Linked DNA regions of Rattus norvegicus. The protein of the gene in region 1 interacts with the protein of each later gene in a biochemical or structural test. Links are inferred from orthologs where the notes say so. Each region holds a gene or a part of one and is shown on either strand. Other genes may lie near its edges.

The links. The genes of interacting proteins can lie anywhere in the genome.
Region 2: the proteins of Cckbr (region 1) and Cck form a complex in vitro, tested with the Homo sapiens proteins (3 studies listed by BioGRID). The link is inferred for Rattus norvegicus from reciprocal best matches to the Homo sapiens genes CCKBR and CCK.

Annotation. Positions count from the first base shown.
Region 1 is NC_086019.1:169,182,374-169,186,383, forward strand, and holds the start of Cckbr (gastrin/cholecystokinin type B receptor), read left to right. Parts: upstream 1-1,204; 5' UTR 1,205-1,239; coding exon 1,240-1,390; intron 1,391-1,599; exon of another isoform or gene 1,600-1,805; intron 1,806-1,912; exon of another isoform or gene 1,913-3,518; intron 3,519-4,010. UniProt on the Homo sapiens protein: Receptor for gastrin and cholecystokinin. The CCK-B receptors occur throughout the central nervous system where they modulate anxiety, analgesia, arousal, and neuroleptic activity.
Region 2 is NC_086026.1:130,034,791-130,038,802, reverse strand, and holds the start of Cck (cholecystokinin preproprotein), read left to right. Parts: upstream 1-1,205; 5' UTR 1,206-1,313; intron 1,314-2,361; 5' UTR 2,362-2,363; coding exon 2,364-2,577; intron 2,578-4,012. UniProt on the Homo sapiens protein: This peptide hormone induces gall bladder contraction and the release of pancreatic enzymes in the gut. Its function in the brain is not clear.

The DNA.
Region 1 (4,010 bases):
CAACCTCTGATAGCCACTTTGGGATCTCAAAAGATATTTCACATTGCACCAGAATTTCTTTGGAATGGAGGAGACTGGTAGAAACAAGGCTGAAAAAGAAAAGGAGGCCAGTCCTGCCTAAGGAAGCAGAGTCCACTTGAGCCTTCTTGCACACCAGAGGCGCCTTCGACTTTGTTCCCTGCTCTCTCCTGCCACAACCCAGTGACCCAGTCCTCCCTTGGCCCCCTCTCATGGGAACCCAACACCCTACCCCGGTGCTGCACCTATGCTGACAGCAAATGGAGCATCGTCGTTTTAGGTGTGGGTGGACGCTGCCTAAAGACGAGGGACGCTGCCTGCTCCCTATCTTTCACCCTGGTCAGGGCGAGAACTAGAACCCATACCAGAACCCGTACCACACCTCAACTCAGTTCATTTAGAGCAGTTCTCACTTCAATTCCCGGTCGCCCTAGTTCACTCCAACCCTTTTCCTTGTCTTCTTTGCGACCCTCCAGGACCCTCTTTAGAGTCTTTGAAGAAGAAGCCTAGGTTTGGAGTTTCAGATAGGAGGTGGGATATGCCAAGGCAGAAGCTAATCCTCACCAAAGAGCTAAGGTAGCTGACACTGTGGCGATCACTGCGGCCACTGCGGCAGAACTCCGTAACTGCGGCTCCAAACGTACTAAGGCACCTGCTCTGTAGCAGGGGAGCCTGGTACGCAAAACCGGATCACCACCGCCATCACCACGTCATCTAAACCACCAAAGAAAGATGCTGGACTCCACAGTAGCTACTCACTCTCCCATCACCCCATCCCTCCGGCAGGCGCACGTGTAAACACACACACACACACACACACACACACACACACACACACACACACACACACACACACTCTTCCAGAACTAGGGGCATTGGTATAAGAGGTGGGCAGAAAAGGCATCTTTAAGAGAAGAAGGGAGAAACTAGCGCGGGGGCGAGCCTGGAGAGCAGTCACTCAGGAGCGCGCGCTGAACTCTGGAGCCGAGGAGGCGCGCCGAGAGTCACCTGGTGGGACAAAAAGCCGCCTAGAGCCTGGAACCGGCTGAGGTTAAGGGGAGGCTGGTGGGGGAGTGGAGGAGTTGGGGCCAGGGCAGGGGGCGGAAACTAGGAGGGGCGGGCGATGTGGTGGGCGGGAGCCTGAGCCACCAGCGCCGCGGGAGCAGGTGGAACCGGTGCTAGAGCTCGCTTAGCAGAGCTAAGTGGGACTTCACTGGAGCCATGGAGCTGCTCAAGCTGAACCGCAGCGTGCAGGGACCAGGACCCGGGTCGGGGTCTTCTTTGTGCCGCCCGGGTGTCTCCCTTCTCAACAGCAGTAGTGCCGGGAACCTCAGCTGTGAACCCCCTCGTATCCGCGGAACCGGGACCAGAGGTGGGTGCCTCCCTAAGCCCTTCTCACTGAACCCCACAGCATTATTCAAGAACCCTTCTGACCTCTATTCTGTCAGCTGCCCATAGTTTTCCTTTGTAGGACTTCCGCGACTCACACAGAGACCCCCCCCCCCCCTTCACACACTGCGCTCCCAAGCTCTCATAACTCCAACACCTTCCCATCATGGTTCAAAACCCCCGACTTCATACTTGCTCTGCCATAGCTACTCAGATCATCCCCGAGCTCAGCATCACACAGCCGGGAAACAAGGACCTCTTCTTGTCAGCAGGTCTAGCTTTCTTTTCCTTTAACATCCAGTTCACAGAGCCAGTACCAAGGAGAGAGAGCGACAGGAACCTCTGAATGAAGGGCAAAGGAGGGCTGGGCCGGTGAGGGCATAAGCTCTCTGGACTGCCTGAATGGGAGATAAGAGTTGTAATAGTCTCCCACCCCACCCCAACCTTTCCCAAGAAAAGAGGGCTACATTCAGATCTGAATTTAACCAGCACAAGGGAATGCTACCTTTCTTGTTCCATTTGTCCCCAAACTCTTCTGTTCCCAGGGTCAAGTCCTCCACCCATCTGCATGTCTTCTCTGTCACTCTGAAGGTCTCTGAGTCCCTTCCACAGCGCCCCAAGTATCCCTTTTCTCACTTGCCTAGAGCCAACTTCCCCTGGCAACAGTCACCCCATTCCTTTGTGTCACCTTCCCTTCCTACTGCTTTCCCTCATCCCGGCTGCAAATGACTCATTCCTCCCATCAGTAGCATCTTCATTGCTTCAATGAACATCTTAAAATGCATGTTCCCTTTCCATCCCCATATTTGTTTGCAATGTTTAATGAACATTTACTAGGCTTAGTGCTGGGAACACTGAACGAACTAGACACAGTCTGCAGTCTCAGCAGTCTGCAGCCAAGTACACAGGGACAGAGAAAATCACTGCCTAGAAATCCCACAGAGGGTCTGATTGGAATATGGACACACAAAGGAATTGGGGAGTCTAGTAACTTCACTGAGGGTGGAACCTGGGAGCTCGGGTTCAGTAAATGGAAAAGGAAGGAGTTGGATTCTATGTTCAAGAAGTAAACATTGTTAAATTATACCCTACGTATTTACTCAGCCCATGAAACAATTCATGCTTTCTCAGTTTGGCTTTTACCCACTGTCACTTACTCTTTCACTCAGGAAAGATTTATTGGACCAGAAACTGCTAGGCAACAAGGATACGCATTTAACAAAACTGACGAAAACCCTACTTCATGGAGCTCTGAGTTTATAGGGGAAACAGACAGTAAGCCAGGAATGGTAGCACAAAGAGAAGAAGCATTGTGGATATATAAAAGGGACATCTCCAGCCTACTCTGCCCTTGGGGATTAAGACGGGTTTCCTGGGGTATGGATGTGATCAAGTAGGGAAATATGACAGAGAACCAAGTGACAGAGCAGAAGAGGCATAAAATGTCTTAGAGAAAGATATCCTGTCTCAAAAGCTCAAAGTTTAAGGCTATAGCATGTCTGTTCAGTATAACACAGTTTTTGTATGCTGGAACATGTACCCTTGAAGGTTCCTAATAACAGTGTAAACCAACCTAGAGTGTGCTTGGGGAGCTTTATAGCTCTTGCTATAATGTGTAGATTTCCTCCTGAGGCATTGGGATCCACTAAATAGTGCTGCCAGGATTGATTGCATGGTGTTGAGATTCAGATAGAATGCAGAAAGATACTTTAGAAAGCTATTGCATTACACAAATCTGGCTGGAAGATGATGCTAGCACAGATGGAGAGGCTGGCAGTGAGGATGCAAAGAAGTGGACGGACCCAAGAGCGACTTCTGGAAACGGAGTCAACAGAACCTAAACATTGATTAGAAATAGAGAGGGTGGATGAAGTCAAGGGATGAGATCCAGTTTCTGGTTTAGGCAACTGAAAGGATGTGGATGGCATATCATAGAGAGACAACCAAGGAGGGGGACTAGACGTGCATTTCATATTACAGCACCTGCTTGCAACGGCAAGGCCCTACATTCAGCTCCTAATAACGAAGGAGCAGAAACAGTTTTGAAAGAGGGAATTATTATAAACTCAATTTGGAGCCCATAGAGTTCAAAAATTGATGGTTACTCACCAAAGCTGTTGAATCCTGAGATCTGGAACTTACCTTGGAGATCTGAGCTGGAAACATAGACTTGGCAAGTCTTCACCTTTGGGGGGGAGAACCAGAAACCATAGGAATTGGCAAAATACTTTTAAAAAATATTGTATAAAATGAGAGCAGGGAAGCTGAGCCAGGACCCTACAGAAGGCTGGCATTTAAAAGCAAGGCAGAGGAAAGAAGGTCCAGGAGGAGATGTAAGTGAAATAGAAACAGTAGCCGTGTCTTTGCAGAAAGTGAGAGAAGAGTCTTAGCTGAGGTCAGGTAAGGGATACTAATTATTGCTATGATGAATCAGAGATGAACAAAATATCCACACCGGGGTTGTTCATACACAATAACTACAGAGAGGGTGATGTGATACCAAGACCTGACTCAGAAGGAGGAGGACTGGGCCATGGAGAAGGGGTTGCAAGAAGTGAACAAGAGTAGTTAGCAAAATGTCCAAGGAGTGGGGGCATCAGGGA
Region 2 (4,012 bases), on another chromosome or scaffold:
TCCACAGGCCCAGGAAAGGTCAGCGCTTGTCGATTCTGACTGTAGTGAACAAACAGCCCCGCGCTAAGCCGCATTATTCACGTTTCCAGACATGTTTGGTCCGTCACAAATACAGCTAATTCCTACAACCTGAGCTGTGTCATGGGGGGGGGGGGATCACCCCACAGCATTTAATCTGCTGCTGTTTTAAACACGTTGCTTCTAAGTAAAGAGACCGCTAGAGCCACAACCAGGAACCTAACTACTGCTGGCATCACTTGCCTTTTCATAGTCTCCCTCAGCCGGAAGGCCCCACGCTGGGTGCCTTCTCTATTTAGAAAGAGTTTCTAAGCCTTTCTCCTTCACCCTAGACTGGCAAGGTTGAGGGTAGGCTGAGGGTTGCAAGACTGTGAGAAAAGGGAGCCCCTCTCTTCTTCTTGCTCGGTGAGTATCTCAGCCAAGATCCTCACCACCCAGTGGAATCCCGTAACTCTAGAGGAAAGGAAGAACTCTAGAGGACGGGAAGATCATTGCAAGCTCCCCTGGATGTTGCGAGCCCAGCCCGCTCCAGTCAGCCAGCCAGAGCCTGAGGGTGCTTGAGACACTCTCTGGCGCCACTTCGCGACCAAAATCATCGGTAGATGGTAGACTGGTGAGAAGTCATCCTGGGAAGAAATGGAAACCTTTTCCCCAAAGGCTTTCCGCACAAAAGGCAAGAGCTGCACCCAGGATCTTAAAATTCTGTAAGACTAGAATCCAGGAGGCCAACTGTGATTGAGTTCTGAAAAATTGAGAGCCCTACTCCCCTCTCTCACTTGTGGGAGCCCACTCAGGTCTGAAGTGCTCCCAGAGAACATGCCAGAATTACATTTGCTGACACCTAGTCTGTGAGGGTCCCCCGGTTTCCTGGAAGGACTTGATCCCTCAAAGCTCACTAAACAGTGGTCAGCTTCTCCATTCCAGACAAACTCCTGCTTCTCTCCGGGAGTAGGGGTGGCACCCTCCCTGAAGAGGACTCAGCAGAGGCACCGAACAGGTGGGGAGGAAGCTGTTTAGATAAAGAGGAGGACTCATACAAAGTACCCCGCCTGGGAGGGGCTATCCTCATTCACTGGGCCGTTTCCCTTCTCCCCGGGGGGCCACTTCGATCGGTGGTCTCTCCAGTGGCTGCCTCTGAGCACGTGTCCTGCCGGACTGCGTCAGCACTGGGTAAACAGATGACTGGCTGAGTACCGGGCGGGGCTATTTAAGAGGAGTCGCCCTGCCGCCTGCCCTCAACTTAGCTGGACAGCAGCCGTTGGAAACCGCCAAGCCAGCTGACTCCGCATCCGAAGGTAAGTGGCTGGCAGATCCAAGAATCATGAGTGTGAAGAACTGGCCTGTAGCTTTGCATCTATTGCCGTTTAGTCTTTCCATTTTCTGTGCCTTCCCTCACTTGACAGCTGGAAAGATTTCCTGAAGTCGGAAATAACCTTACAATGCGTCTGGGTGGGTACTGCTGCGGAGAGACTTGCTCTCCTCTGTGTTCTCTGGCTAGGGCAAGGATGGGGATAGCCATTCTTAGGGTTTCCCTGTTGTTCGGAGCACTATGCAATCATTTAAAAGAAACTACCTAAAGGTGTTAAGACTTATGTCCATTTTTAAATGCTGCACTAAAAAAGAAAAAGCAGGTTTGGGGAATAGAAACACATCGTTATGATACAGGACCCATCTGCTCAGTTATTAAACGTAGCGGGGCTTTGGCCACATCTGAGGACTGGGCGCAGATTTCTGGGTTTTTGTTTTGCATAGTGGCTTTCCGTAAAACGCAGAAGAACCTCTATAAATACAGCTTCTCTTTATGGGCGCACACTTAAAACAGTGATTCCCATTGTCCTGCCATTTCTAATGTAGTGAATAAATTAAATCTCCCGCATTTCTCTCCAGGAGTATCTCTCCTTCTCCTCTCCTCTCTCTGTTCCTGTCTCTGTCTTTCTGTCTCCATCTCTGTCTGTCTCTGTCTCTCTCTCGCTTACTGCCCCACCCCCACCCCCACGCTTCACTCTGTGCTTTTCTGGTTAGAAGAGAGATACGCTACAAAGGCGTCCTGGAACTTCAGGAAAGCAGGAGGAGGCGCTGCTTCTGAACGGGGCAGTAAATCGGGTCTCTGCTAGATTCCCAGGTTCCGGGTGTGGGAAACACAAAAGCCAGACAGAAATGTCCCGAGGCGCGTGGTGGCCAGGGCGCAGCTAGAGACTTCTCTTGGCTACAGCTGAGCCAGTCTGGCGCAGCTGTAGCCCCCAGGTTCAGCCTCAGCCAACTTTCTGTGTGCGGGACTTTGGGCTGGAGCACGCCGCCGAGATCAGCCTTTGGTTCACGCTCCTCGCCTTTTGCTTCCCATAGATATGAAGTGCGGCGTGTGTCTGTGCGTGGTGATGGCAGTCCTGGCAGCAGGCGCCCTGGCGCAGCCGGTAGTCCCTGTAGAAGCTGTGGACCCTATGGAGCAGCGGGCGGAGGAGGCGCCCCGAAGGCAGCTGAGGGCTGTGCTCCGACCGGACAGCGAGCCCCGAGCGCGCCTGGGCGCACTGCTAGCCCGATACATCCAGCAGGTCCGCAAAGGTAAGGATGTCCGCTCCCCCTCAGGCTTCTGCCGCGGCTCCAATCTTTATCCTTTCCTCCACCGGCTGGGAGGAGGAAACGGGGTACGCACAAGGAGCAAGATTTTCACTTTTCTTTCCTGTGGTACGCTGCACTGCGCTGTGCAGTAGGCAGGTGGTGTTCACAGAGGAGGTAGCCAGAGGGCTTACCTAGTCAGGGAAGCGGGCTAACAGACCCTTTTCTGAACTGATTTTGACACGGTCTCAGGGATGAAGTATAACACCGTTTTAGGACAACATTAAAAAATAATCGAGTGCTGGTAAGAATCTTCAGATCTGTCCTATCCCCTCTGGTGTCTATGCAACGGAACTGGAAACCACCAGACACTGACTAGGGAAACCCTCTGGCAGGAAGTGGGGTCGGTGTTGAGACAGCCTGAGATCTGAAAAGAAGCAGTTGGCCTTGTGCACCTCTCCCCCGGCACAGAGCAGGAGGAAAGGGTCAAAGGGTGAAGAGCATTCCTTTGACTGTCAAAGGAGGATGACCACACAGGGAGAGCTGTGTTTTGCCTTTCTATCGCTGTTGGAAAGATGTTCCCAGTGCTGAAGACAGCCGAGCCTCTCCACATTGGGAGGCCTTTTCCATGAATCCCATGGGTGAGTCCACACCTTGCCAGTTGAATGTTTCTTTCTGTGCCCGAACCTCTCAGTTTTAGAGAAGAGTTGAGAGCAGAGCGACTCAGTTCCCCTCCCAGCTCTGGGATTCCAAGGGCAGCCTTCAGACGTCATGGCTTGCCCCAACAGCTCTCATCTGACTTTATCCACAGTGGCATGGATGGTGACCTCTGGGTGGGTGTTAACCTGGACCAGTAGAGCTGGATTAAAACACAGGAGGTGGGCATCCTTTTTGTGGAGCTCAGTAACCCAATTTGCCCATGGCTCCCCGACCCTGCCTGGCTTGACTGCGTGTGGCTTGACTGGTGAGGGGAAACTGAGGAGCCTGGTTGAGTCTCCTAGAGTTTCACAGGAAGATAAGATCTGGGAAAACGAAATGATTTCTTACTTTTCTTCCTGTTTTGGAACTCCTGCTACAGCCGCCCCTTTCTAGGTTATTTTCCTGCTAATTCAACAGAGAGGAGGGAGGGAGGGAAGGAAGAAGGGGGAAAGGGAGGAAGGGAGGAGAAGAGGGAGGGAGAAAAGAAGGGAGATTAGATAGATGGATGAATGGATGGATGATGGATGGATGGATGGATGGATGGATAGGATTGATGGATAGAGAGAGATGGATATAGATGGACGGATGGATGGATGGGATGGATGGTTGGATGGAGAGAGATGGATATGGATAGATAGATAATTGGATAATGAGAAAACCTGGAAACCTTGGGTTCCCCGTCTCCATTCCCTCTGATCGTTCATGTAGGATCTGCTCTCTGGTGTAGACCGCGAGCAGCCCC